2 linked regions of the Sus scrofa genome follow. The protein of the gene in region 2 purifies or fractionates together with the protein of the main gene of each other region. This does not show direct contact. Links are inferred from orthologs where the notes say so. Each region holds a gene or a part of one and is shown on either strand. Other genes may lie near its edges.

Evidence for each region. The genes of interacting proteins can lie anywhere in the genome.
Region 1: the proteins of DDX20 (region 2) and SNRNP70 purify together in Homo sapiens (affinity purification with mass spectrometry; 4 studies listed by BioGRID and IntAct, counting the BioPlex papers as one, with this or other methods). This does not show direct contact. The link is inferred for Sus scrofa from reciprocal best matches to the Homo sapiens genes DDX20 and SNRNP70.

The regions. Positions count from the first base shown.
Region 1 is NC_010448.4:54,286,912-54,291,266, reverse strand, and holds the start of SNRNP70 (U1 small nuclear ribonucleoprotein 70 kDa), read right to left. Parts: upstream 2,914-4,355; 5' UTR 2,691-2,913; intron 2,490-2,690; exon of another isoform or gene 2,421-2,489; intron 1,935-2,420; 5' UTR 1,925-1,934; coding exon 1,778-1,924; intron 390-1,777; coding exon 327-389; intron 219-326; coding exon 164-218; intron 1-163. UniProt on the Homo sapiens protein: Component of the spliceosomal U1 snRNP, which is essential for recognition of the pre-mRNA 5' splice-site and the subsequent assembly of the spliceosome. SNRNP70 binds to the loop I region of U1-snRNA.
Region 2 is NC_010446.5:108,626,159-108,629,803, forward strand, and holds part of DDX20 (probable ATP-dependent RNA helicase DDX20), read right to left. Parts: intron 3,456-3,645; coding exon 3,350-3,455; intron 3,217-3,349; coding exon 3,115-3,216; intron 487-3,114; coding exon 1-486.

The DNA of each region.
Region 1 (4,355 bases), on a different chromosome or scaffold from region 2:
GCCTGCGTAAATGCCTAAACCAAATACAGTGCTTGGCAAAGGGAGGGAGCTAAGAAAGTGAACTGAACTCACTTTCCCAAATTAGAGTCCTGGGGTGGACCTGGGGGAGAGAAACACAAGCGTGCTCGACTCGGACACATGAAAGGAGGAGAGAGAGACTTACACATTTTGAGTTCTGTCTCCACTTCCTGCTGTCGCCGTTCAATTTTTTCTCGTCTCTGTGAGAAAAAGGGCAGACCACTGAATACACAGAGACGTGCCCTGATGTCAGGGAAGAGGGAAGAGGCAAAAGGAAGATACGGGGCCATGAGGCAAACGTGACATACCTTCCTCTCCATTCGTTCCTCCCGGGTTTCTGCTCGAGTTGGAGGAGGGGCATCTCGAGGGTCCTGGGAACAAAAAGAGGTGACAGGGTGGGAGGGACAGGGGAAAATAGCAAGGGACGCCATCCAGGAAATAATGAGCATCTCAGCCACGCCCCTGCGCTTGTACACACACGCATGTGTGCAAACACAGCCAGTTCCTAGGCCAGTGGAGGTGGGGGAATGGTGCAAATCAAAGCATGATCCATGCCCCATGCTATCTGGGAACTGTTACTGGTCTGTGACAAGAGAACTACAGAAACTGGCATTAAGTATTCAGAAACCTCGACAGCAATCTGACAGAGTAGCTTTATATCTGTTGAACTCAACAAATGAAATTTGATTTGTTTTTTTTTTAACTTTGTAGCCTTTCTCTAAAAATACTAGAAAGTGAAAATAATCCTTGTGTTTATCAAAAGCACCACTCTGCAGCAGACTTGTCCTTAATCACAGATAAGAATTGGGACCAGGCCTGAAGCAAAAGAAGCTGACAGTGCAGTGCTCAGAGGCAAACAACTGGACACCTTCTGAGGGCCAGGGTAGTTCCTGAAGGTCTCGGCGAGCACTCATTAAACAGTAACTGTCACATGACCACATCTGCCGCCAGCCTGTAACTACTGCATTGACTTAACTGGCTAGTCATATTTTCCAAATACCGGTTCACCGAGGCTGGCAAATACTACTATAGAGCCAACCTCCTGTCACCTCTGTACTAAACTTCTGCTCCACAACTTCCTTCACCTCCCCGTTCCCACCTGATGCCAGAACTTTCTTCTTCTGACTCCTGTGTGCCAGCACTTCTCGGGTGTCCGCCGATGCACCTCAACAGGTGGATGTTGTTAACCCAATTTCGAAAATGAAAAAACCGAGGCCCATGGGCCAAAGCCATTTATCTCTGTTCACCCTGCAGGTACAAAGCTGCAATTCTCAAGCCTGTGGTCTTCAATGCACCAATCACCAAGTGCTAACCCTTTACAAATTTCACCATATTAATGACCAAAATGGTCATTATACGTTAAGAAATAATTGATGTTTACTGACTGCTTGGCGTCAAGCCCCATAACGTTAAAAAAAAAAAAAAAACAAACAGTCAATTCTCCATCAAATTACATCAAAGACACTAATATTCCCTTGCTAAACATGGGGGGGAAAAAAATCACAGCAGTTAGAGGATACACCTCTTGCCCAAGATCATCACGCAACCGATAAATGGCGCACCAAGGACTACCTAACTCGAGAGTCTGAATCCTCAACTGGTAGTTACTGAATTTTCACAAAAGCCCTACAAGGGCTGTGTTACCAATCTAAGACAGGGAAACAGGATAAAAGCCACCTTCCTCAATCACACAGCTAGAAAATCGCCAGAGACCAGACTCCCCGATCCAGCCCACTCCAAGCCTCTTCAGTGAACTCACCTCAAACTCTCGGATGTAGGGCGCAATGCCACAGTAAGGTTGATTGTGGTGTTTTTCATGTGGCAGTTTCTCCAGGGGTGGCAGGTATGGGATGGGGTCACGGGGAGCAAAGAGGGCCAGAAGGTTGGGCGGCAGGAACTGGGTCATCGTGCCAAGTCTGAGAGCAGAAGCAGGACCATCTTATGTTAGGGTGGGCTGGGGAGATGAAGCCCCTATCAATCCCTTGCCTCCCAAGAAAAGAGAGAAACACGGACAAAAATCTCAAAGTCTCCTGTAAGGACACAGAGCGCGATCGATCCTTAATCACAGGGGCAAGCAGATTCTAGAGGGAGGGCTGTGTGAACGGGAGGGGAGGGGGAGGGCAAGAGAAGAGAAACAAAGACTGAAAACAGGTTTCCGAGCAGTGAAGTCCTGAGCAAGGAACTGCGGGGCTGAAGGTCCCTGGGGGCTTGTGGGGCATCAAGGATCCCGAGGAAGGAGGTCTAGGGCCGTGGCGGCTGGTGGTCCCGCACCTTGGATAAAAGGTTATAGGGGGAGGACCGCAAGAGGTCTCTGATCAGGAGAAGGGGTCAGTCATAAACAGCAAACCTCTCAAGCCAGGGGGTTGTGGGTAATAGATCTAGGCCCCGCAGGCGAAGTGGATTGTGGGTAAGGGTCCAGGACGGAAGGGAAGCGAGGACGAAAAAAGGCAACACAGCGCAAAGGCCTGTGGGTAAGTGACCGCTGAGGGCGGGGGAGGGGGACTATGGAAAAAGCCTAAGTGACCGGAGAACTCTGGGTAAGGCGTGCAAAAAGGTTCTGTGGTGGCGGTGGCGCGGGAAGACTGCCCGGCCCCGGGGAAGGGACTGGGATCCACCGCAGGGGCTTGTGGGTAGCGGCCCCGCACCCGGTAAGGCCACTCAGTCATACTCACCCGCCGCGCGGCGCCCTCCTCGGCCTGGCGACGGTCCAGGGGCTCGCGGCGGCCCCACAGCAGCAGGTACTCTAGCTCTAGCTTCGACTCAGACGGCGACCGCGTCTCTCAGTCTCTGTCGCCCGCCCAGCGCGCGCACCAGGCCACAGCTCACGAGCCCGCGCGGCCTCGGCTCGCGACAGGGGCAAGGGGTGGAACCAGCCTCAAATCCCTCCGCCGACCCTATTGCGCACGCGCCGCGCGAGTCAAGTGCAACCCACACACAGGAACCTTGGCGCCGCTGCGAGCACTGCGCACGCGCGAGGCCACTACCCCGCCTTCCGGCACCTTAAACTCCTTTGCCGCGGCGGGATGAAGGTCACAGTGCGCACGCGCGCTCCGCCCCAAGCGGTCCCCTTTCACCTCGCGCTCAGGGCTCCAACTGCCTCTGTCCGCGAGACTCTTGATGCTCCACGCCTTTTCTTACACACTTCCCGGATCTTGCGCGCATGCCTGTAACGTCTTTCACACTGAAATATCCTTCCGCCGCCTGGCAAAGAGTTCCTACGTGAACAGTGTGATTCCTTAACCTAGGAAATCAGTAACTGTTCATTGAGCGCCCAATGTGTGCGTGGCGTTGTTTGGGCTCTGGCGATATACCATGCGACTGAAGCGAAGTCTTTTCCTTTTTGGAGCTTACATTGTACTGAGGGAGACAATAAAGGCACTTAAAAAGATAAATTTCGGACGGTGGCCAACACAGTAAAGAAAAATAGGGCCGAGTACGGGAATGGGCGGGGATAGAGGGGTTATTTTAGAACTAGGTCCTTCTGGAGAAGGAGACTGATGGAAGGGAGATCTGGGCGGGTTTAACAGCAAGTGCAAAGGTCCTGAATTGGGGCGGAAAGTGGGAATCTCATGTTGGCTGAGAGAGCAGAGAGCTGGCGGATTATTTAGGGCCCTGTAGACCTGTAAGAAGTTAAAATATTTGAAGTTTGGGGAATAGATTCAATTGCCTGTTTGATAATAATTACAGAAATTACTACAAAATTTAAATGGCTAATATCATGCTACTTAAAAAAAATATCCTGAAGCGTTCTCTCGTGGCGCAGCAAGTTAAGAATGAGCATTGTTACTGCATTGGCTTGGGTTGCTGATGTGGAGCAGGTGCCACCTCTGGCCAGGGCACATCGACATGCCATGGGCATGGCTTAAAAAACAGATAACGTATACATAGACACGTTTGCTTTCTGTGTATATGTATGTGGGAACTCTGCACTATTTTTTGGAACTTTTCCATAATTCTAAAATTACTTCAAAATAAAAAGTTTGAAGAAAAATAAAGCTAATAATAATGTATTTTTTTTTAGTACCATTGGATAGTAAATGGCTGAGACACTGCACCTCTAAATGCTTCAGCATGTCTCCTAAGAATAATGGCATCCTCTGCCCAACAACACAGCTATTTTCACCTCTTAGAAAGTTTATCCAGCCCCTATTCAGATTTTCCCAGTTGACTCATGAGAACTCTATCTTAATCTGAAACAGGAGCCAGTCAATGTTCACGCGTTTATTTGGTTATCATGTCTCTCTCGCCTCTTTAACATAGAATAGACACACACACACACACACACACACACACACACACACACACACACACTGCGTTATGTTGTTGTTTTCCCCCGA
Region 2 (3,645 bases):
AGCATTCATAATCCTCCACCAGTTCTGCAAAAGTCAGAGTGCACGGCAGGTGAATTTTAAAGGAAGACAAGCAAGGAATTTTGGGGAGTGACACAGAAGCGTCTTTGACGTGGTGCTGACTGTTATTTGAGTTTTCAACAGAGTTCTGAACGGAATTCTTCATTTGCTCTTCCAATTGTACAGCACTGCCCGGTTCTTCGGGTGACGCTGCTTTTTCGACAACTCCACATTCTGAGTGGCTTTTCATGGGAAGCTTTTGTTTGGTATTATTTTTTGATTTTACTGAGAGGGCAGATACAGAAGTATTTCTTGATGAAGCCACGTGGTTACCATGAGCTTTCCGAGTTTGAAAGGTTCTCTCTATTTTTTGAATTTGCTTTTTTAGAGGCTGGGTAGGTACATTTGCTAAGTCATATGTATGCATGGCAGCTTCAACCTCCACATCCCAATCCAAACATTCTTCCATCAGACCAGGAGGAATAGGATCTACATAAAAGGAATAAAGAAACATTCAATTCTCGAGCTGCTCGAGACCAGCATTTTCTGAAAGGTTTCAAACAGCTTTCTATGGTCAAATGAGATTAAGAAACAAAATACACTAATAACATACTAAGAAGCTTAACACATTAGTATTTTAAGACTTAAGCCATCCTTGCAGTGAAGAAATCTGCCCCCAAATTTTCAAGACCCATCCCATATTCACAAGCAACTCTCTCCCTCCACACCCTCCCTAGACAAGCGCTTCTTCTAGGAGTGGGAGGGCCTCTCCAGCCGTCCTCCCATCTTTCCACTCCTCAGCTCCTCCCACTGTCTCACTGCTGGTAACAGCAAAACAAGATCGTAGACAACAGACAGTGCTCCCAAAGCCTATCAATATTACAGCTGCAACTCTCTACCCGAGTAAATCTGCCCCCCTACTTCTACCAGGGAGAAATCACTGCCCTCAACAGCGGCAGGAAAAAACTCTAGAGGGGGAAAAAGCTAGAGGCTGTGAAAAGATCTATGGTACCAACGGCACTTTGAAGTTTTAAAAAACGTGCTGGCTCCAGCTCTCTAAGTTTCCTATCCCAACTCTCTAAATTTCCTATCCCATGCAGGTATGACCATTTGTTTCCACCTGCACTCAGACTTTCCCTAAGGGTGACCGGTTTTCATCTCTGGCCGACCAGGTACACAGAGGCCCTGCTCTGCGCAGATCCTGCCTGTCTGCCGCCGCTGCTGCTGCTGCATGTATGCGGGTCCACCACTTAATCCCTCAGACGGGGATCCTTAAGCTGGGGCTCTGGACCTTTTGCTGAACAGACCCTCTGGCTAAACACAGGTTCCTAGTAAGGAGACACCCCTGGCTTGTGGAGACCGAGCATTCAGGCCAATTTCCCTCCTGCTCCTGGCAACTCAGCTCAACAGCCTGGCGTCACACAAGTGTCTAGTCCAATACAGATCTAACACTACAAATACCGCTTTCTCATGATTTCAGGGCTCTGTTAACATTTCATTTCATTTTTCTGGTATCCAAAGGCAAATTTTATTTTTATCACTACATGTTATGATACTAAATCCTACCACAAGTCCTAACGCTTTTGTACCAATTTCCAATTTATTTTCTCCATATTTGTAATTATGAATGTCTTATACATAGAGAGAATTAACATAATATAGTCTTAGAACTGATAGAGACTCTGAAGACTATCTAAAGACAAGTATTTTGTAAGTCAGGAGATAAGCTTAGAGCAATTAAAGAAATCTGTAAAAATATCATAAAATGAGTTACCACAAAGCCAAAGTACTAGATTCACAGTACTCCCAAACCTGTGCTTAATCCGGCTTTGTGAAAACCACTAAAGGAGTTCAATATAAATTGGTAAAATGTTCATGTTGTAGTCATTCAGTAACGACACATCCCATCTCTTAGAAGGTCACGTACATACTACACACACACACACACACACACACACACACACACACACACACACACACACACACACACACATACATTAACACAGAGAGCTGACCCTTGAAGAACAGAGGTTTGAACTGCGCGGGTCCACTTACATAGATTTTTTTTCCAGTATGTACCACAATACTACACAATCCATGCTTGGCTGAATTAGCAGATGCAGAAGCATGGATACGGAGGGCTGGCTGAAAGCTACATAAGGATTTTTGTTGGGCAGAGGCTTGGCACCTCTAACCCCCCACGTTGTTCAGCGGTCAGCTGTACAGCAAATAAACAGTATTTCCATCCAAGAGTTTCTTTAGGATTTTTTTTCTTACGTCTTTTTTTTTTTTTTTAGGGCCACACCTGCAGCATATGGTGGTTCCCAGGATAGGGGATGAATTGGAGCTGTAGCTGCTGGCCTATACCACAGCCACAGCAACACCAGATCCGAACCGTGTCTGCAACCTACACCACAGCTCACAGCAACGCCAGATCTTTAACCCACTGAGTGAGGCTAGGGATCGAACCTGCATCCTCATGGACCCTAGTCAGATTCGTTCCCTCTGAGCCATGACAGGAACTCCAAGGATTCTTTTTTTTTTTAAGTTTTCAAGAGTTCTTTGGTACTTTCAAACATGCATTGTTTCCAAGATGGCACTTTTAAAAAGCAGCTTAATAATGACTTGTTAAAATCAAAAGAAAATACTTCAAAATTTTCAGAATAGTGTTCAAATAAAGAAACTGTTCCTTGCCCATGGTGACAAAGGAGAATATGGCAAGAACTGCTTCAGGGCAATATAAGAGGTAAAATACACCCCTTGATATAAAAGAATAAAATCAAACTACAAGGCTACAAAGTAAAATATGGAGTTAACACAACAGGGTACTATTTTTCCACTTTTCATGTGTCATTAGTCTTACAATTTTCTCTCTGCTATTTATTAGCTACAGAACCTTAGGCAAGTTACTGAACCTCGCTATACGTCAATACCCTCACTGACAAAAAGTAGCACATCTCACAGCACTGTGGTGAGAATTAAATGAGTTAACAAACTTTAAGTGCTCAGAACAGTACCCAACACATCAAAAGTACTCTATATTAGCGATTATTTTTATTAGGCCTATCATTATAACCACTATAATTTTGACAGCAAAATTAAACAGACAAAATATACCTGGTAAAAGCAGAAGGTTAATATGACATTTCTGGGCAATTTTCATCATCATATTTTCCTCTTCTCCCCTGCAGCAGTAGGTCACTGTCAGTCCCAAAGTACCTAAAGCACAGAAGGAACGTTAAATAGTAAATCGTTTTCACATAGATGATGCTTCAAGTCCACATGTCACATTACAGATCCTTCCCCTTAAAGAAAGCACCCAAATTCTTTTTTTTTTTTTTATTTTTATTACCAAAGCGGCCAGCTCTACCAATCCGATGCATATATGTCTCCCAATCCAATGGGACATCCAGGTTTACCACCAGATTCACCTTCTCAGCATCAATTCCACGGGAAGTCTTAAATTGAAGAAGACAAGAATTATTTGTTTGCATGAACTATTGCATGAGCACACTGTATTATTTAGTCTAGGATAACCAAGAGCCAAATTAAGAGGAGAATATTTAGGAGCAAGGAAGATATTTAGTAGCAAAGGAAAAGGATATTCATTTCTACTGACTAATTTCAAGAATAAAGACAAAAATATAA